Struthio camelus: one gene and its partner. The protein of the gene in region 2 interacts with the protein of the main gene of each other region in a biochemical or structural test. Links are inferred from orthologs where the notes say so. Each region holds a gene or a part of one and is shown on either strand. Other genes may lie near its edges.

Region 1 (9,832 bases), on a different chromosome or scaffold from region 2:
CTTTGTCATCAGGTAACCAGGCTGCAGGTTGCCTAATGACAGCGTTATGAACCCCGCAAATCAATGGGCTCCACTAGCCAATCTAATATTCAGCTAGAATCAAGCTAATATAGATTTTAGTTTTGTTCTGCTTTAGATTTCTCAGTGAAACAGTCCATTAAAGTGCCTCGCTCAAATAGGCACCGTGGAGGCCTGGCAACTTAGTTTTTAGAGAGTCCTCTCTTAAGTTATAAACCCTGCAGTGAGTGGAATGCAACTGCCCCTAAACAATGTGTTTACAGCTCTAGTTCAGGCAAAATTTTCATTCAAACTGTTGAACATTTGGTTTAAGTCCTTAAGGTTCAGAACAGTTCTGGAGAGATGTCAAGCATCCTTCTCTTCAACTGATTTGGGTGAGTTTATGAAAAAATGCTAAGGGTTAACTCCAAGCTTAGTGGCAAAACTGGTGGCCATTGAGACCACCCTGTGTCACCTTGGCAGTGTTGTCTCATGGCTTCCTCCTGTTGTCCTGTCTGTGCCCATCTGCTCTCTATCTCAGGTTATATTTAGAATATTTAGATATTTTTATGGCTGCATGTAGAACTCAGACTTTGGGATTTTCAAGTCTAAAGTGGGGGCTCTTCAGCATGATGCTTTATGAAAATAACAACTGTGTGGGCCTGAGCTGTGGGTGAGGATTTCAGGATTTGTCACTGATTAGTTTGGCTGGCTGAGGCCGTGCAAAATAATCATCTTCCCTGAACTGAGGGAAAAAATGAAACAAATACTGTGTCCTCAGCTAGTAATAAGCCTCTCCCATGCAGATATCTTCATCTACTTTAATCTGAATTAGGCCTGTTCCTGCAGTGATATAAGCCAGTTCACTACCTGGAAGTGACTGTTCATCCTGCAGGGGATCTGCAGTAAGACAGAAGAAAATGACCCTGACAGTTTTGCTGCGGAAGGCCCTGCCCTGCAGGACTGAGGAGCGTTACCCAATGCAGCCATGTCAGCCAGCTGAAAGCCAAAGCAGTGCCCATTAAGACGAAGCAGGTGTGTGACGGATAAGTGAGGTTTGTGGGCTGTAAGCTGTGCCTGGGTGGAAGGAGCTTTGCCAAGGTGTGCTTATGTGGGCAGGCACTGAGGATACTTACAACATTGGTAGTTAGGACCGAGGCCACTGGCAGATAGTCATAGCAGCTTCATTTTCTTGCCCAGCTCATGTCTTCACCTCTTCACAAATGTCAAGGGTATGAGAGCAGAGATTTCTCCCTTCTCTTCATATTCTATATAACTCAATGACTTCATTTCCTCTGCTACGGAAGGCAGCTTCTGGCTTTTTAAGGCTTAGACATGACTCTGGGAAGGAACCGTCCGTGGCAATGACAGGCTCAGCCTCCAGTCATGCAGTGCTGTAGGTGAAGGGCTGGTGTTGTTGGTGTTTGTTGGTGAAGGTTGTGGCAAAGCTTTTGGTGAAGGTTGTAGCAGATTAGGATGAGAAGAAATAGCAAATGTTAAGGAAGGGTGAGATGATGCAGTGTACTTGAGAAGCTGAATGGATGGCTGCTTCTTCCCCTGGTTTTCAGGACATTCAGGGAGAGCATCTCCTTTCTTTGCTTGCCTTTGCGAGCTTCATTTGTCTACTTCCTCTGGGTGCTTGGCTTAGGACCCAGCACCCGTGAATGTGTCCTGCCCTGAAGTGATAGAGTTTGACACTATCTGAAGAAACGTGTACAAGACAAACAAGTAGAAGGACTCACCCTATCTACTAGAGGTCCCTGCAGATAACCTGCAGATCCCCACCAGCACCGGGTTTGTCCTCCTGGTGACCACATACCCCATTCTTCCCCTGAATCTCACTCCACACCTTCCATGCAATGCTATGGATTATTTCTGTAAGAGAACAGGAATTGTACGTCTTGCACAAATGTTTAAAAGTGAAACAATCCCAGGTAAAACAGTTTTAACTGCAGGCCTAGAGGTTCTTTTCTTAGCAGTACTGGCACTCTGTGCAGAGGACACCCCTGGGCCCTTCACAGCAGTGTCCACACACATTACTTTGTACTCATGAAAGTGCTGGAGTAATTTACACTTTTCTCTCCAGTCTATATTAGTTTGAATTCATCAGCGTTGCGCTTTGTCTGCAGCTGATTAAACATGCCAGGGCCTGGTGGGTGCCAGGCTCATTCCTCTGGCTGAAACTCCCAGGTGCGCAGTCTGAAAGTGGACTTGCGGGAACAACTTGGTTATACAACGTCCCACACCTGCCTCTGTCTAGTTGCCCTTGGGCTGCTATTACTTTCACACTTCTGAGTATCTAAATTCCTATAAACAAAGAAGGTGTAAAACTAATTAGACTTTTTGGATTTTTTTTTTTTTTGAACACAACTCCACCCTGGGCCAAGCACTCTTCTAAACACCCAAAGAGTAGGTGCAAGCCAAATGGTGGGACACCCTCTGGTTTGATGGCAATTGCTAGCTTTTCAAAGCACAGTTTTGCTTTCCTACTGTTTTGACTCTGGCTCTGGCAAGAAGCTTGCTTGAAAATGCTGATCCTGAAATGCAGTTGCATCATGGAGAAGGATGTGATGGGGAGGCTGAGCTCCTCATTCTTGCTTTCCTCCATGATACTCTCTAATAGTATGTATACAACCATATATTGCACCTGGTGTGTAAACCTTATGCAGCTGACTTCCCCTCTGCAGTGAAGCCTGTTAGGATCCACAAGTCTTATTCTGAGAAGAATGGATGTAAACGGATTACGCTGTTGTAATGAGAGAATTGAGCGTGGCCATTCATTCCTGAATATCAGTAAGCTGCATCTATAGCAACACACAGTGCAATGTTCTTCCTTGCAGCCTGTTTGACATCTCTGAGCCCTTCCAGGCATTTTTTTCCTGCGGAGCCATCTTTCACAGTGTAGGGCTCTGCTCCTGTGCCATTGACTTCTGAGAGTAGTTGCTGGAGTTGCAATGATAGCACAGGAGTTACATCATGACAGTCTGCATAGGTGGCCTGGGGCTTGTGGACTGGTAGCTTTGGGTCCCTTTATTTGGGAGGGTGGATGAAGTAATTTGGCAGGGGCAGGGAAAGAGCTGCGGTAGCTATCTGCTAACCCCTCCCCAGCAGCAGATGGTGGCAGGGCAGGGTGGAGTGGTGTGCAGTGCAGAGGTGGCAGGAGATAGTCGGGCTCCGTATGGGCTCTATGAAGCATTTTGGAGCTGTCTGGCATTCCTTCCCCCAGAAACCCGCTTTCCTGCGGCAGAACAGGAGGCTGTTCCTACACTGGCTGATGGATTTGGGTAGGTGGGTTTTTGTACCTGGCTTTGCACTGGGATGGCCAACAAATAGCCCACTCGGCTACCTCCTGCCTCCCCTCTGCTGGGGGTAACCAGTGCCTGGATGGGACAATAACACCTCTGCTATCTATGCACCATGTCTGTGCCATCAGAATAAACTGGAGCTAAATTCAGCGCTTATTCAGGGTAACTGGTTTTCTGGAATGGCTGGGGTTAAGAGGGGCTGCGATGTCCATGTTTTAGTGGGGTTTGGCTGCTGAAGCCTGGCCTCTTCTCTGAGAGGGTGAGGATCAAGGCCTGGAGCAAGAGCCACTGTCCTCAGACACAGACCTACCTGGGCAGGAACTGAAGATACTGCCTTAAACATTTCCCGAAGTCCCTGACTGGAAGCAAGCCAAAAAGCAAAAAGCATGAGGTATTGTTGCTGTTTTTGCCTTTCCTTGGCCCTCACTTGGCCTCTAGGCCAGAATCCACCTCTATCTGAGTATATATATCTGAGGCGCACCAAATGCCTGGTTGCTACAGGTGTCTAGGATAGCAGTGATGGTCTCATGGCTTCCTGTTCTGTCTGTGGCAGATGGCAGTCATGGCTTGTAGCATTTTATCTTAGATTGGAAGCTTATTTGAGGGGATGTGCTTTTGTGATGCTTTCTGTCCTGGGATTGCTATATACATATATATATATGTATTTAGCCCAGAAGGTCCCACAGAGCATCTCCCGGGTGGATGCCTGCAGTGAGTCCAGCGTCCTACATAGGACAAATACCACAGTTTGATGAAGGACTTATTCCGCTGGCCATTTCTGATATGCTCCCGCTGAGGAGAGTCAGACCCAAATTCAGTGATCTTGACGCAGTTTTGAAATGAGTAACACACTTGAACTCGCAGTGTTAGATGATGATGTCAGAAGGGAATACTCTTGGTTTTTGTCCAAATCTGCTCACTAAAGCAGTACACAGTATTGTCATATAGTCGAAAAGATGGTTTAAGGGGCTGCAGCGATGGGCAGGTCCCTGAATGTCCACTTTCTATCGGCTTCCCTGGGGGCCTGGTCGTCTGCTCCCCTCCTGCCTTACCTGCCTATTTTCTAGCCATGCCCTGGGCAGCACCGGGTCTCATAACTCATGGCCCCCGGTCCCAGTAGCAGGCTGGGCTTCTGTTTGGGTGACAGTGACTTCAGTGGCATCCCACACCACTGAAGAGCCTAAAAGTCCCAATAAGCTTCTAGTTTCATTAAAACTGAGGACATGCTTCAGTGAATCAGACCCGGCACAAGCCATATGCAGTGCTGCTGTAACGCCAGCAGTGCGAACCACCGGAGGAGGGCCTCTTGCTCTGGGGCTCCAAGGGAAGCAATCAGCCTAAAGCTGTGTTAGCAGCTTTTTGCTGCTCTTTGTGAGTTATGAAAACGTACTTTCTCTTTCTGTTGTCCCTGAGAAAACTTTTTGGTCCGTCTGCAGGTCCTCCCTCTGTGGAGTCAGGCTGCACTGACAACGTTCAAAGCTTCAGCAAGACACACACCTTTCCTGTCGTGGCTGGGACTGGCCTGGGGACACGTCACGGCCCGCTGCTATTTTCTTTCGTAATATCTGCAAGTTAGAGTGAGCTGGTGTGGGGAGGGAGGAAGAGGGAAATGCAGCTGCTGCTTAAATAAAAACGATTTCATTAGTGTCAAATAAATATTGACTTTTTAAAGCAGATGAATCTTCTTTCTTTTTCATTGCTATTTTCTTCCCTGCTTGTACTATTTATTTAAACCATATGAAACCGGGTGGCATATGGAGGCTGCTTCTCCATGAAAACAATTTCTGTCAAATGCAGCCATCCCTGTGGAGGGAAAGGGAAAATGTATCAGGATGGGGGAGGGATCAGAAGAGAGGGGGGAAGAGCAAGGCAGGGAGGGGGGAAACATGGCATTTCCAAAGCTCTACCTTAAAGCCAAAATCTGGAATTAAGTTACTCACTTCCCTATTACATCCCAAATCTTTCAAAGCCAGATACCATATTTAGGATCCACAGCCACGCTTCTCTTTAGAAGAGGTTATGCATACCACAAGTGATCAAGGCTGCGGGGTTTTTTTTTTAAATATATTTTTATGTACCCTTTATTCAGCTGTGAAATAACTGCTATGTTTTACATTAAATCCTGTGCCCCTAAACGCTCATCGGCGATAAATGGAGGCATTTACAGCTTTCCAGAAGATTAGCTCAAGCCTGGAGAAAGCAAAACCGAAGATCCTGTAGGGTTTATCCACACGGAGACATGCCCTGGTGCAATGTGCAGCAGTTTTATTAGCGTGAGGTGCCCCACTGACACCATTAATCTAGAATAAAGGTGGCTCTGAAGCCAAGCGACGCTGCTATAGACGTGCCCCTGTGAGCCCCAAGTGGGAAGCTACACCGGCATCAACCCGGCGCAGTAATTCAGCTGGAGAATTTCATCAGCTGCCAGGCCCTGTCGAGGCCAGGGCGCAGGGAAGCACGGCAGCAGGCCTCTCCCCCGAGGGCGACGGGGCGGGGCGGCCCCGGGGCGGCGGCGGCGGCGGCCACCAGCCCGCACCGCCGGCCGCGAGGCGGGTAACGGCTCCTCACAGCCCCGGGGCCCGGCCCCTCCCCCCGCGCAGCCCCCAAGGTGCGGGGGGCGGGGCAGGCGCCCGGGGGCGGGGCTCCCGCGCTCTCCCGCCTTTTTCCCCGCGGCGGGAGCGCCGGGGCGAAGGGCAGGTCCTCCTCTCCCGCCACGGCGACAATGGGAGGCTGGGCCCGCGCCGCGCCTGCAGCCAATGGGCGTGCGGGGGCGGGGGCGCCGCGCGCCCGGCTCGGGCTGTGAGTGGGCAGCCGGGCGTTCTGGCGCCAAGTTCGAAGGGGATATAAAGGGGCGGCGCCGGGCGGCGGTGCGTCCCGCGTTCCCGCCGTGAGCTGCTGACAGCATGCTGTCCTCCCGCGTCCCGCTCTCCGCCCGCCACGACCAGCCCCGCCTGTCGCCGCTGAAGAACCTGGCGCTGAGCGACAAGGAGAACACGGTGGGTTCCCCCCCCCCCTCCTGCCGCCCCCCGTCCGCGGTACCCCCAGCGCCGCACGGCTCTCACCGCCGCTCTCTCCGCAGCCCCCCGCCCTCAGCAGCACCCGCGTCCTGGCCAGCAAGGCGGCGCGCAAGATCTTCCAGGAGGCCGAGGGGAAGCCGGTGAGTGCGGGCCCCGGCGCGGGCTGCGCGTGGGGACCGACCCTCCCTCCCTCCCTTCCCCGCGGGCATCTCGCCGCCTCGGCGCCCCGTGGCCGAGCGGCGCCGCCGCCCCCGCTGGCCTCCCGCCGCGGCCCGGGGCTGAGGCCGAGCCGCTCTGTGCCCGCAGGTGCCGCGGGCCGCCGAGGAGGAGCCGCTGCTGCGGGACAACCCCCGCCGCTTTGTCATCTTCCCCATCCAGTACCACGACATCTGGCAGATGTACAAGAAGGCCGAGGCCTCCTTCTGGACTGCCGAGGAGGTGAGGGCTGGGGCTGTGCCGGGAGCCCCTGGGAGCTTCATCCCTGCTTCAAAGGCACTTCTCCTGCCATAATATTAATAATGAAGCTGGACAAGGTTACCTGATTTTTCCGTAGCCCTAAGGGGATTGTAACATCTCAAAACACTTCCCTAACATGCTGCTGAAAGTGCACCCTGCTTGCAGGGTAGCACCTCGGACTGTGGTACGAACACTTTACCTGAAGTGTCTGTTTCTCTTAGGAGCCCTTTATTGTTTCATTGCTTCCCTTGTGTTTCAGGTGGATCTTTCAAAGGATATCCAGCACTGGGAGTCGCTGAAGCCTGAGGAAAAATACTTCATTTCCCATGTCCTTGCCTTCTTTGCTGCCAGTGATGGCATTGTGAATGAGAACTTGGTGAGTGTGTAGAAAGGGCCCTGAAATAACCTATTCCATGAAATGAAGGTAACCAAATAACTACATATTTAATGAGGTACTTGCTGGCCTATCTAGCTTGTTTACCTGTGCTTAAAAACTTTAATATTGCCTTATGTTATTAAGTGAAGTGGGGGGGATGCTTTTTAAATTCAAGAGGCTGGCCGTTTTCCCCACAGAGCAGAAAGCACTGCCTTATAGTAACAACTAGCCTACTCAGAGCCCTTGCTCTGCTTCAGATCTGTCAGTGTTCCCTTAAGGGAGGCAAAGCCAATTTAAGATGTTCTTCTCTTCCTTTGGGGACCAAAGAACAACTTTACAGCTGCAAGTCTACTTAAGATGCTGGTGCTCTTAACGTTTCTGTTTAGAATCTAAACATGTGGATTTAGTTTGAAGATAATGTTATAGGCTAAGCAAATGTAGCTCCTCATAGAAAGCATCAATACCTTTAATATACAAGTTAGTGTTTGCAGAACCATTGATAATGAAGTTTTTTTCCTCTAGGTGGAGCGGTTCAGTCAAGAAGTACAGATCACAGAAGCCCGTTGTTTCTATGGCTTCCAGATTGCCATGGAAAATATACATTCGGAAATGTACAGTCTTCTTATTGACACATACATTAAAGATTCAAAAGAGAGGTTAGTATTGCTTGATAATGAAAGGTTCAAAACTGATAACTGAGGTTTACATGATGTGCATCATTCGTGTTTGTGACTTTAGTCTAACTTTAGGATTTGAATTAGATTAAAATATCACTGAAATGCTGCTTAAGATGGACTTTTAAATATCTTTCTGCTCCTAAATGTATGAGCAAGACTTCATCTAGGTTCAGAGTAAAAACAGATACTTAACATTGAAATAATGGAATGAGACTAAACATCTAACAGGTAACATGGTCAAATAAGGGCGTATGTTAAACCACAGTAAGCTCTGCTACGGAGGACCCACTCCGTTGGTAGGTAGCTATGTAGGGAAGTTTCTCTAAGGATAACAGCTTTTTAAATAAAATAGTCTCTAATACTCACTGTATCTAGTTAATGACTGATGCACTCGCCATATGCTGCTGTTAGAGACTTGACTATTTTTGACTTCTTTCTAAAATAATAAAGGCAAACTTCCTTTTTGACAGCTATATGTAGATAAAGCTGCATGCTTGAAAAAAAGAATAGTGATTAAAAGTATCACCAAAATGTAACTTTCCCATAACAAGGTGGATCAGTTCAATAATGGGATCTTCTTAAAACTCAGTGCAGGGCTTTGAGCAACTTGGGCTTTTTCGAGTTATTTTTGGAATGTCATGGGAGGCAAGCACCCTACTGGGGTAAAGTGTTACTGAAATGCTAGCTGCAGTGTAGAGGTACTTATTTAATTGCTGTTACTTTGCAGAAAGCTGACTAGCCACATCACTCTTTCCTACTTGTGGGTGCTTAATTGCTTTAAATTTTTAAGGAAGAATTGCTTATGTGAAAAGTTAGATGCCTTGTCACGGAAAAGTGGAGGTCAGCTGCTCTATAGTTTTGAGACTTGTTCAAGCATACTTCTTGAATCAGTACTCCATTTGGTTTTGTCATGGGAATTTGTGTGAATTCCTGTTGATGTAATGTGAAGGTCATGCAAAGGTAGATGAGCACAAATGCAGCTAGGTTTGGTACAAAATAAAATGGGAGGGGAGCTTAAATACTGAGGTGAAGGTACAGAGCCCTTGTAAGTGAATGAGGCCATCTACAGCTGTGAAGGCTTATTGTACTGGTTGCTTTGCTGAAATCTTGTCCTAATGAGTTATATGCTTCTCAGGGAATTTCTTTTTAATGCTATTGAGACGCTACCATGTGTTAAAAAGAAGGCTGACTGGGCCATGCGCTGGATTGGGGACAAGCAAGCAACATACGGTGAGTATGTTTTTTAGAAGCAAAGTGAAATTTCTTCCCTAAAAGAATGGAAGAACCGCTTTCCAGAACTTGTCCAGACTTCCTCACAGTTCACAGGGATTATTGTTGTCAGGGTATGAGTAAGCACTATCTAGAAAATGCTGGTATAATTCTGGAGATGAAAAAATCTTGTTTGTCTTGCCGATAAACTGATGATGCAAATCTCTAAAACTGCTAGTATTTTGACTAACGGTAGCTCCTGTGGCAATCTCTGTATGATCAAATTGCAACTGTTTCTTGTGTCATGAACTGCACTGGTCTCTGCTCTCTGGTAGACACATTCAGTTGGAGGCTATGGCTCATCTGCCTTACTGATTTTTGATGCCTTGCTTAAAAGGTGAAAATGAGATGGTAGAGAGTGCAGCGATTTCACTGCTATTAATGTTCCTCATGCACAAAGTTCTTCACTTGAGCAATGATGAGCAGTCACTGACTTTAATCTGACACTGAAGATGACTGTTCTTTGTTCAGTGTGTAATCTATGGGGGAAAAGGTGGTATGACATTTAACCTGGGGGAAGGAGTGCTGGCTTCAGCTGCCTACCACCTCCTCTAATTAGTTTTTACTTTGCTTTGCAGTTTAAAAAGTATTTTGCTTTGACAGAAGCCTTTACTATACCATTTCCAGGGACACACTATAGCACACTTGAGCAGCAGTGCTTTCATTCTGCTTGAAAGACTCAGTTCACTGGTCTATTCACAACTTTTGAGTTTTAATCCTGGTAAGTTTTCTACA
Region 2 (10,453 bases):
AGAGTTTCTTTGGAGATCATTGGCGAGTGCTTCCCATTATGAGGGTTTATGTAGTTGTAGAGATCATCCATCACATCTACAGCAGAAACGTGTTTAAAAAGAGAGACAAAGCAAGTCACCCACAGACATACGTTCACATAATTTGTCATTAATTTTCAAGGATTTAACCAACAGGACTACTCAGCCTCCAAAATAACCCCCTCCAGCTCTACATGCACACAACCTCTCACCTTCATAACACAGTCCAACTTATTTTCTACCTGCTCAGTGCTATTATTTTCTACTGACCTTGAAAAAGCACTTTGCTTAGAATATTTTTTAATAGAATTCATCATTCGGTGACAGCTAGAGAATTTCTGTCTAGCCAACAAAGTTCAGCAGGCAATTCCACTTTAGAGGCAATAAGCTTTTCAAATTGATTCTCTTTTCACAGGTTTAGAGATTTTGTTTTTAAAGTGTGAAAAGAAAGTGGGTGCATCCTAATTTCAATCAATTACATTCTTCAGTCTCTTTTATACAGATATTTTTCGCAAAACAATTTGATTTTCCTTGCGACATGCATAAAACTGATGTTTTTCATTCCCTTGGCATTTTTAGTTGGCCTAGGTATTTAATTTCTGCTAATAAAGAGCTTTACGTATTTATATCCTCCAGAACTCCTACTCCCTTTCTGACTAACTGCTCTCCACACGCCCCCAGACAGACTTACCACTGAATACTTTCTTAGTTTCTTTGTGCAAATTGGACACTGCAATTCTCGCTGCCAGGATAGCATAGTCAGGGTGTTTGGTAGTCAGAGTCGCAGCCGTTTCAGCAGCCAGCGTATCCAGTTCCACTGTTGTGACACCACTGTATAGCCCCTGAATTACCTTCATGGTGATCTGGGCCTGAAACAGCAAAATTCTGCAGATTAGCAATCTTTTGTTTAAAAAAAGAAAAAAAATTTTCAACCATTTAAAAGAAATAAAACATGCTTCGCTATAAGGGGTACCTTTCATTCTGTCTGAACAGCAAAGCAAACTAAAATACAAAATCCTCTTGATAAAGTACTGATTCCTAAAGTTTTTAAACCAAGAGATAGTAGGGCCAGAAAGACAGCAGGGAAAGAGTGAAGAAAATACAAACTGTCAACACAGAATCACCAAGAACTTTCTGAACATAGACACTTTCCTAAAGGCTCGCATAAAGTAGCAGCAAAGTGCATGGAATAAAAGTCACATTAAAACTTTACTTGCCTGGAAGTTTTAAAACTCCAAATGAGTTTAAAACTTGACTTTGTAAATGCCTGATGAGACTTGGAATCTGTTATACTTTAAATTTTATGATGACAAGAGCAAAAAACTCCACCCTGGACAAGTCAAAAAGGATTTTGCTTCATGGCTTAACCTCATCTTCATCTATCCATTGGGACCTTTCCTGGGAAGAGACTTCTGCATCTGCTGCTTCGAGAATCTTCTCTGCTTTTCTCTCAAGCATTTAGTGCTGATCACTACAATCAGCATTTAGTGCTGATCACTACTGTAGTGATCAATATCACTACAATAGTGATATTCTACACTGAAGAACAGAGGTCTGACCTAACACGGTAACCGCCACATACGTTTGAAGTGCCTACAGCCTTACGAAACCAGCACGTGTAATTTTCAAACTTTACTCTCTGTAAGGAAGCATTCAGATTAAGAATTTTTGTTATTTCCTTGTAAATCATCTGTCATGAGAAGTTCTGAATCCAAAAGGAGAAATCCAAGTCCAGGAAGAGATATCCCACACACTCCCGCAGAATAAATAAAAATACATTGCTTCACGTAAAATTAGCTTTGCTATTAAGATGAGGGTACAAAGAGTCAGGAAGCCTAGGGACTTTATTTCTGTCCTCATCATCAACTCCCTCTGTCATTCAGATCAAGTCAATATACTCTCTATTTCAGCATTACTTTTTTGGTACAGAATCAATGTCAGATATTTTACAGATGTAATTGAAGACAAGAAAACAAATCACAAGATCTTGGAGATGTGAAGAGCCTAAGTTGACAACTCCAAATGAACAGACTAGCTTTGCACATCGGCGTAAAAATCTCACAGATGTCAATGGATCCACGAGGCTGTGGAAGGAGAAGCTCGTAGAGGTGGGATTACTAAGCACCCAAAATCATAGACAGCTCGGAAAAGTAAAGTAGGGATATAATGGCAGGGGAGTTCCGTCACAGATAAAGGGCACCTTTCCATTTTATTAAGAGAGGACCAAGATTTATTTTCCATACAGCATTGTTTAGCTTTGCAAATTGAAACAGAAAGCAATCAACTAAAATATGCGAGCTGGAGCAACAAACAACTCAAAGTACAAGAAGCATAATCACCTCCCTCAAACCCAGTCTCAGACTTTGTACTTGTGAGGCAAGAAAAACCCCAAAACACAAACAGCTAGAAGAAACACATTATGGAAAAATAGAGTAGTCAATGTATTTGCCAACAGTTCCTGCACAGGCTGCCGTGCTTAGCTTTCCCTTTGCTAAAAGGAAGGCAAAAAATGGATAGCACCTGCTCAAAACTATTGGCTTTTAGCAAAGATCACCACAAGGGGTAGAGAACAGGAAAAGAGGAGAGAGGACAGACTCACTGGATCAACAAAGTCAGCATTGAGCCCATAGCATAGCTTCTGGATGCGTGACGTGATCTTGTCAAACATGACACGCTCTTGGCGTCCATCTGTTGAGGAAGAAGTTACAAACACAACAGCTCCCGTTACACCAAGAAGCAGTTAAAAACAGTATCCTTCTACCCAGGAGATCACACAATAAGGAGCCAACTCTCTTCTGCGGGAAGTCAGGGCGGGAATCACCAAGGACTACCCGTTTAGGTTTCCTGTTCAGGCTCAAGAGGAAGGGAAAAAAGGTGGCTAGCCCTCTAACCCCCTACCAGAGGTGTCACCCCACACCCTGCCCCCATGGCCTGGACAGGGATCCCCCCACCACGGGGTCACCCCACACCCTGCCCTCCACAGGGACCCCCCCCCCACCACAGGGGTCACCCCACAGCCTGCACCCCACTGCCTCCACAGGAAACCCCCCCCCACCACAGGGGTCACCCCACACCCTGCCCCCCCGCTGCCTCCACAGGGACCCCCCCCACCACAGGGGTCACCCCACACCCTCCCCCCCGATGCCTCCACAGGGACCCCCCCCACCACAGGGGTCACCCCACACCCTCCCCCCCCACTGCCTCCACAGGGACCCCCCTCACCACAGGGGTCACCCCACACCCTGCCCCCCCACTGCCTCCACAGGAAACCCCACCCCACCACAGGGGTCACCCCACACCCTGCCCCCCCGCTGCCTCGACAGGGACCCCCCCCCACCACAGGGGTCACCCCACACCCTGCCCCCCCACTGCCTCCACAGGGACCCCCCCCCACCATAGGGGTCACCCCACACCCTGCCCCCCCACTGCCTCCACAGGGACCCCCCTCACCACAGGGGTCACCCCACACCCTGCCCCCCCACTGCCTCCACAGGGACCCCCCCCCACCACAGGGGTCACCCCACACCCGACCCCCCCGCTGCCTCCACAGGGACCCCCCCCTCCACCACAGGGGTCACCCCCACGCTGCCCCCCGCGGTGCCCCCCGGGCCGCGCCATCCCCAGCCCCGCCGCCCGGCCCCCACCTCGCTTCACGACGTGCATGGCGGCGGTCGGCGTCCCGGCGCGCGGGCTTTCCAACGGCTCCTCGGCGCCAAGCGCGGACTAAACGCTTCCCGCTCCCGCCAACTGCGCTGGCCCCGCCGCGCCGCCGTAGCGCTCCGCCCCCCCCGGCTGAGGCCGCTGCCGCCGCCATCTTGGCTCCGGGCACTGCCGCCTTTTCAGCTCCTTCCCTCACCACCGGGATTTCACGCGCTGCCTCTAACCCCTTCGCGGAGGCTCATCCTTAACTACATCCCCATCCTTCCCCCTCTCCTCCCGGAAAACACCACCCTAGCAGCGGCAGCCGAGTCGTTTGCCCGCTTCCAAGATGGCGACCGACCTCCCACCCTCTCCTTCGAGAGCGGCGGCGAGACGAGAACGGGCCGTTTACGCCAGCCCGAGGGCGCGACGTACGGAGCCGCCGGAGGGACAAAATACCCCCGTTTTGCAAAAAATAATTACAACAACGAGACTACCGTTGTAGTAATAACAACAATTACGCTAATTATGCCAAAGCAAGGCCCAGGCAGAGCATTCAGTGCGGTTCTCCCAACAAGGGGCGCCTGCACAGCCCCTCTCTGCCCACAGAAGGCCCTTGCCGGTGAGGGGCCGGGGCGAGGACAACGGCACATGGACGACCGCCGCGTCCTGCAGCCGCCGTTTTCCCCCCAAAACGCGGGAAACGCCCCGATTGGCAGCGGCGCCCGCCCGGAGGGGACAACGTGGTGCCCTCGGGTGCCCCGGGCCTGCCCGGGCAGGGCGCCGCCCCGGAAAGCTCACCAGGTTTCAGGTGATGGTGGCACGACCCGTGAGGAAAGACGGGCGCTGCGGGGGACGTCGGTTGGCCCCGCGCCGACGCCGACCCCAAACGGGCGGTTACCGGCGCGGGGAGACGGACGCGGTGGCAGGGGCTGACGGCCCCCCGTGCCCTCCTCGGCAAGGGTGAGACTCGGGAACGTCTGGACCTGAGCAGGAAATGACAGTCCATTTTGGGGCCATTTTTCTGCGTTATGGGAAAAGACCCTACAGGATTAAAAAAAAAAAAAGAAGAAAAAAAACAGCATTGTGGTTTATTTGAGCCTTCTGAGTTGCGCTCGCAGCTCTTTGCCCTCAAGTTCTCCTAGGTTTTGCTTTAGGACCACTCTTTTTCACTCTTTTTTTATTTGTTTATAAATAAATATATATTTTATAATGCATATATATATTTTTATATATATATATAATCTATATAATCATATATATTACATATAATATATATTTATATTTATTTTTTTATAAATATATAGATAAATGTGTGTGTGTGTGTGTGTATGTATATTTTATATATATTATGTGGAAGGCCGGGCCTCCCGCTGGCCTGAGTCTTCCCCAGCTAGGAGACTACCTCTGGGCTAGAACAGCGCTCCAAACTAAGGCAGGTTTGTTTCAGTGCCTTAAATGCATGTGATACGAAGAGGGGGGTCTACGGCGCCGGGGATGAGGGGGCGGACGTGCAGCGGGACGCTCAGCTCCCAGCTCTCGCTGACGCGCGAGGTCGTGCCGAGGATGGAGGGAGAACGGGGAGCCTGAGCCCAAGCCCAGCGCTTGGCCTGCTCTGCGGGCACCGGGGAGGCTAGGCCAGCTGGAAACGGCGGAGGTTTGCGATGTGCTCCTCTACAGCGACGTGCTGTGTGGCGTGGTGATGCCAGCCCCTCTTCTGGACCAAGGCGTCCAAGCCGTCCCTTTCAACAGGCCTCTTTTCCAAAAAGACGAGTCAAGACCCCATCAGGCCTCGTTTCTAAAAGAGCCACTGGTGATACTGATGGTTACAGAGCTGACTGCATAAGCAGCAAAGCTGCGCAAGTCTCGAGTTCGCGTCTTCCCTCTGGATGAGGGGAGTCACCCTGGTGCTCCCCACCCCCCGAGGAGCCCTGTCCCAGCCAGGCTGTACGTGTCCTCAGGAGGGAGGCTCTCTCCACTTCTCCCGATGACCATCTCCTGCTTTCCACACCCCTGTTGGCTTCTGTTGTGTGTTCGGAGGTCATCTGCTGGACTGGGACCTGCAGAAGACGTATCCCGAAGATCTTGAGAGCGCTGCAGTGCCAGGCTGTGCCAGCGGTTCTGGTGCACGTGCAGAGCTGTGGGGCTTAAGAAACGTTACTGGCCAAAGCAGGCAAACCATGAGGGTGAGGTGGAGGCCTGGAGTCATGGACTTAGCTGCATGGAGGCGTCTTAATCCTACTAGGGACAGGGAGCCCACCCTGCTCTGTGGCCCTGGCTCTGGATGCCTCTAGGCTCTAGTGGAGGCTTTGAGCATTTTGTGGGATAACTAAGGGGATCTAGTCTGTAAGGAGAGAATACAGAGCCTCCTCCTCTTGCTTGTTTGGTGTGTCGTGGTACACCGTGCTGGGTTCTGAGAAAACTGATTTCCCAACTCTGATTGATTATTGCTCCCTCACTTGCCTTGGGACAACTGTTTGCAAGGCTGTGCCATAAGCAAGACCACCAAAATTATCCACGTTAAACATGCCTCTTTCATTCCACTCCTCTCTTGGGTGGCATTACTTTTACTCTAGCTCAGTTCCTTGACCCAGAAACATCCATAGAAACGCTGTTCATTTGAAGGTAGTCCCTGTTGTAAGCTCGAGGGCGTTGCACCGCCGCAGGACCGCAACTGTGCTCTGGCAGATGGCGTGAGGTGGAGGCAACCGCAGTCACCACGTGGCGTGTCTCTTTCTTCCTTTGGTTTTCTCCCATGATGAGCTTCCTTTTCCTCCTGAGTTAGATTCAATCGCAGTCACCTCCCCCCCCCGCCCAGAGACATGAGTTTATAGCCTTTCCGAGGGAGTCACGAGCTGAGCGGAAAAATGGGCAAGTCAAGACCCAATCCCACTCTGCAGAAGTGTTTTGTACTGAAAATAATGTTTCTGCTTAGTCCAGATTAGAAATCTGCCCCGTTCTCCGCTCTCCCTTCCCTACTGCGGTGGCGGGGGATAGTCCCGGTGGAAGGGATCCTTCCCGCTGCCGAGGAACCTGCTCCGCTCAGAGATTAGGAACAGCTGGCTCCAGATGCAGTGTCATGGAAATGGCCAAAGAGAGGCAGGACCAGCGCATCAATCACAAAAAAAAACCCGCACGCAATATTGAGGGACACACAGAAGGTGGTGTGCGTTCCCTGGAAGACGCAGCGGAAAGGAGGTGGAAACGTTAAGAGCAGAAGACAGGTCAATGGCTGGTAGAAATACTGACTCACTCCTGGATGGATCACAGTTTTAAGTCGAGCTCTCTTTCAGCAGCTGCTGCTACTGCCGAGGCTGAGCCTGTGCAAAGGCAGCAGCAGTCGGTCTCCCAGAAAACCAGCACCGCTATTTCTGCTCCTTGCGCAGCTGGCCAGTTTTCCAGCAAACAGGCCAGGAGAGCACAGACTGGTGTAAGGGAGAATAGGGTGACAGTAAGGGGTGTCTTTGGGGTTGCACCCATCCAGGCTGACATGGAAAGGGAGATGGAGCCGTTTCTCAAATTGCTCCTTCCTTCCACCTGGCAGCTTGGAGGGGACAGCGGACTGCTCCTATCCCGTATCGCTCCTCCGTGTCCCTCTGCACCGAGCTCCCCTTCCTCGCGTCCCCAGACCTGCTGGGGCGGGAGACTGGCGCCGTCGGCTCCCTCCTGCAGCAGGCTGGGGCTGGCCAGCTGGGGACGGCACCACGGCGCTCGCTGCCGCGTGGGACAGCCCCGGCCTCGCCGAGAGCCCGGCAGGAAAACCACGTCCCAGCAGAGGCTTGGTGCTGAGCGGGGCCTCCCCAGTGCACACCCGGCACCGAGCGAGCCCGGGGGTCCCGTCCGACCCCAGCCCCGGCGCCGAAACTCGTACTGGGCGGGAGGGGGGGGGTGATGCCTCCGGTCCCTCCCGGCTGCCAACCCCGGTGGGACAGAGGGTTTGCAGGGGGTGGTGCAGGCTGGGGCTCCCGGGGACCGTGGCCCGGGGCGGAGCTGCACCTGGCGCAGGTGAGCCGAGCGCCGGCCCTCCGGCCCGCCGAGCAGGAAATGCCGTGCACCGGCCGCCTCGCCGCGCCGGGGCTCCCGGCCCCCGCCGCACCGCCGGAGCCCACGGTAGGACGGGGCCCCCGCCGGGACGCCCCTGCCCGGCAGCGCCGGGGCTGCAGGTGCCCCCGTCCCTGGCGCCGGGCGCTGCAGCGTGCGGGTCTCCCTGCCCAGCCCCGATTACGCGGGGAGCAGAACTGGGAACCGCGGGGCTCGCTGCGGCACTTGGTGCCTTGGGCGCTGGCAGCCCAGGCGCCGAGGGGATGGCGAGGCTGCGGGTCTCCGTCTGGCTCCGCTGCCCTTGCAACTCCACCGCCGTGTGGCAGTGCAAAGGTCAAAGTGCCCTTTCCCCATCGCGGCCGGGTAGAGGTCTCCTTGCGGAGACCCCCGGGGCTGCAGTCTGGCAGAGCTGCTGGGATTTCAGCAAGCGGCCGGAGCCTGGGCACGGGGCAGAGCGCGGTGCCCCCCGCCTGGGGGTGGCCCTGCATCCCGGGGGTTTGGGCGGGCGGCGCGGGGCTCACGCCGAGGGCGGCTGGGGGCGATGCTTTGCAGAGGCCAGAGCATCGCTGCAAGGGGCTGGCATGACCCCGCCGCTTCCCCTTCTGTTGGGGAGGCAGCCCGACGGCTCACGCTGCAGGTCGCCTGTCTGCAAGCTGCGCGGGGCCGGGGAGGCCAGGAGCAAAGGGGGTCTGTTGGGTGCACGTGCGGTCTGCTGCCTTCCCAGCCCGTGCCGCTGACTTCCCTTGTGGGGAACGGCCAGAGCAGAGCAGATGGCCCAGGATGACGCCCTGCGAGGGGTGCTTTCCCTGCCACCACTCGGGACAGCAGCCTCAGGAGGCTTTTCTGCCTCTGATGGCACGGCCAACCCACACCGCCAGCTCCCATCGCCTGCGGGTTGGGTCTTTCAAGGCTGCCCCATCACGCTGTCCGTGTGCTGCCTCCTGGGCAGCTCGCCGCGACACGCTGCCAAGCCACCACGGTTCTCCTCCGGGCACCACCGTAAGCCCCTCTGGGCTGCCACCAGCTGGGCTGAAGCCCTTGCCTTGGTCTGCCTTGCCTCCCCGCTTGCCCGCGGTGAGCCGACAGCGAGTGGTGGGGCTGGGGCGCTCACGCTGCCGCGAGCACGGCCGGGCTCCAGGCTGTGCCGAAGGCTGCCGAGCGCTGCGGCCGCTCGCTCTTCCTCGGCCCCATCCTGCATCTCCCTCCTGAGACCTGGTTGCATCTGCCAGCATTTGCTGTGGGCAGGGGCGCTGGGAGCAGATCCCGCTGACCCAGCAGGTAGACCAGATGTGGTGTTCAGGGTATTTGCATTTGCAGATTTTAAGCAGCTGCAGTCCTCTGAAACATGACTGGTAGCGGGTGACGGCAGGAGGGCTCAGCTGAAGCGATAAATGTGCTACCTGCCTTTGCAGGCTCCCATCTGGAGGCTCCTAGGTCTCCTGGCTGCTTTGGGTGTGTGAACAAGGTACCTCACAGCAGCCCTGCAGGAGAAGGGCAAGAGTGGTCTCTTGGGCCAGGAGACTTGCCCAGAGGGTCCTTGAGCGCCTCTGGGCAGTGTGGGACCAGGACAGCGGGAAGCACCAGAGGCTGGGGGACTGCAATCTGTGCTTGGAGCATGGGGCAGCCGTTGCGCAGCCGGCCGGGTCCATCAGGACTTGCTAGGTCTGCGCTGACACTTGCTGTGCCCGGGCTGCCTCTTGTAAATGCACCTGGCATCTTTGTACCAGGCTTCCTGGTGGCCAAATAGCTTTGATACAGTGCCAGCTGCGAGGCAGAGCCCATGGTGAGCCAGTACCCGTGGCACAGCTAATCTGCAGTTCGTTTCAATGACCTGCAGGTAATCCAGATTGATTTCTGGTATCTTATCTGGAAGGAGCATTTTGAGGCTCTCTTTGACTTCTGGAGGAAGCAAGCGCACCCAGGTGCTGGCACGCCTAGGCTGACATCCCCTTGGATCAGGTCCCTGGAGGAAGCTGTGCTCCACCTGCGGACTTTGCACACGAGCAGACATCCCTGCGCCCTGGGCCTGTCTGTGGCCCACAGACTCCTTGCAGAGCACATGAGCCCCAGCCCATCACACGCGGGTGCTTCTCTGTGTCGGGAAACAGGACCCATCCGCGGTCAAGGACCGCAGGAGCGTTGGCTGAGGCTGCAGTGAGAGGCAGCAGGGCGGGTGGAAGGAGCCTAAGCGATGTGTCCCATCGCTTTGGGGAACGTTGCTCTGCTCGGGGTGGCCCAAGGGACTGTCCTTAGTGAGAGCAGAGGTGGAGGGCAGGGGGTAGCCCAACCGCAGGGCTGCAGCAGGAGACGGCGGAGCTCAGCTGAGGCCAGGCTCCTTTGGAGAGGAGGAGGAGGAGGAGGAGGAGGGCGGCGGGGGCCGGCTGACACCTCTCCTGCCCGCGCAGGTGAACATCTTCCAGGCGGAGAGCCCGGGACCCCCGGCGCAGCCCCCCGGCTCGGCCCCGGCCCCCGGCCCGCCGCGGGCCACCTGGGCCGGCAAGCACGAGTTCCTGCTGTCCTGCCTGGGCTACTGCGTGGGGCTGGGCAACGTCTGGCGCTTCCCCTACCTGTGCTACCGCAACGGAGGGGGTGAGTCCGCCCGGCACGGCCGCCCGCGCTCGCAGCCCCTGCCCGGCCCCGGGGGCCCGTGCAAAGCGCCAGGGGGTTATTGCAGCACACCCCGACCCACGCACACGCGTGCACCCTTGCCCCATCCCGCTCCCCCCCCACCCCGGGGCCGGAGGTGAGAGGGGCT

What was found.
Region 1: the proteins of RRM1 (region 2) and RRM2 form a complex in vitro, tested with the Homo sapiens proteins (3 studies listed by BioGRID and IntAct). The link is inferred for Struthio camelus from reciprocal best matches to the Homo sapiens genes RRM1 and RRM2.

What each region holds. Positions count from the first base shown.
Region 1 is NC_090944.1:24,609,360-24,619,191, reverse strand, and holds the start of RRM2 (ribonucleoside-diphosphate reductase subunit M2), read left to right. Parts: upstream 1-5,971; 5' UTR 5,972-6,205; coding exon 6,206-6,298; intron 6,299-6,381; coding exon 6,382-6,459; intron 6,460-6,625; coding exon 6,626-6,757; intron 6,758-7,034; coding exon 7,035-7,151; intron 7,152-7,673; coding exon 7,674-7,807; intron 7,808-8,963; coding exon 8,964-9,058; intron 9,059-9,832. UniProt on the Homo sapiens protein: Provides the precursors necessary for DNA synthesis. Catalyzes the biosynthesis of deoxyribonucleotides from the corresponding ribonucleotides. Inhibits Wnt signaling.
Region 2 is NC_090942.1:224,376,466-224,386,918, reverse strand, and holds the start of RRM1 (ribonucleoside-diphosphate reductase large subunit), read right to left. Parts: upstream 4,099-10,453; 5' UTR 3,682-4,098; coding exon 3,663-3,681; intron 2,707-3,662; coding exon 2,618-2,706; intron 888-2,617; coding exon 710-887; intron 77-709; coding exon 1-76. Other genes in the region: sodium-dependent proline transporter-like, read left to right, coding at 7,702-7,767, 10,104-10,287. UniProt on the Homo sapiens protein: Provides the precursors necessary for DNA synthesis. Catalyzes the biosynthesis of deoxyribonucleotides from the corresponding ribonucleotides.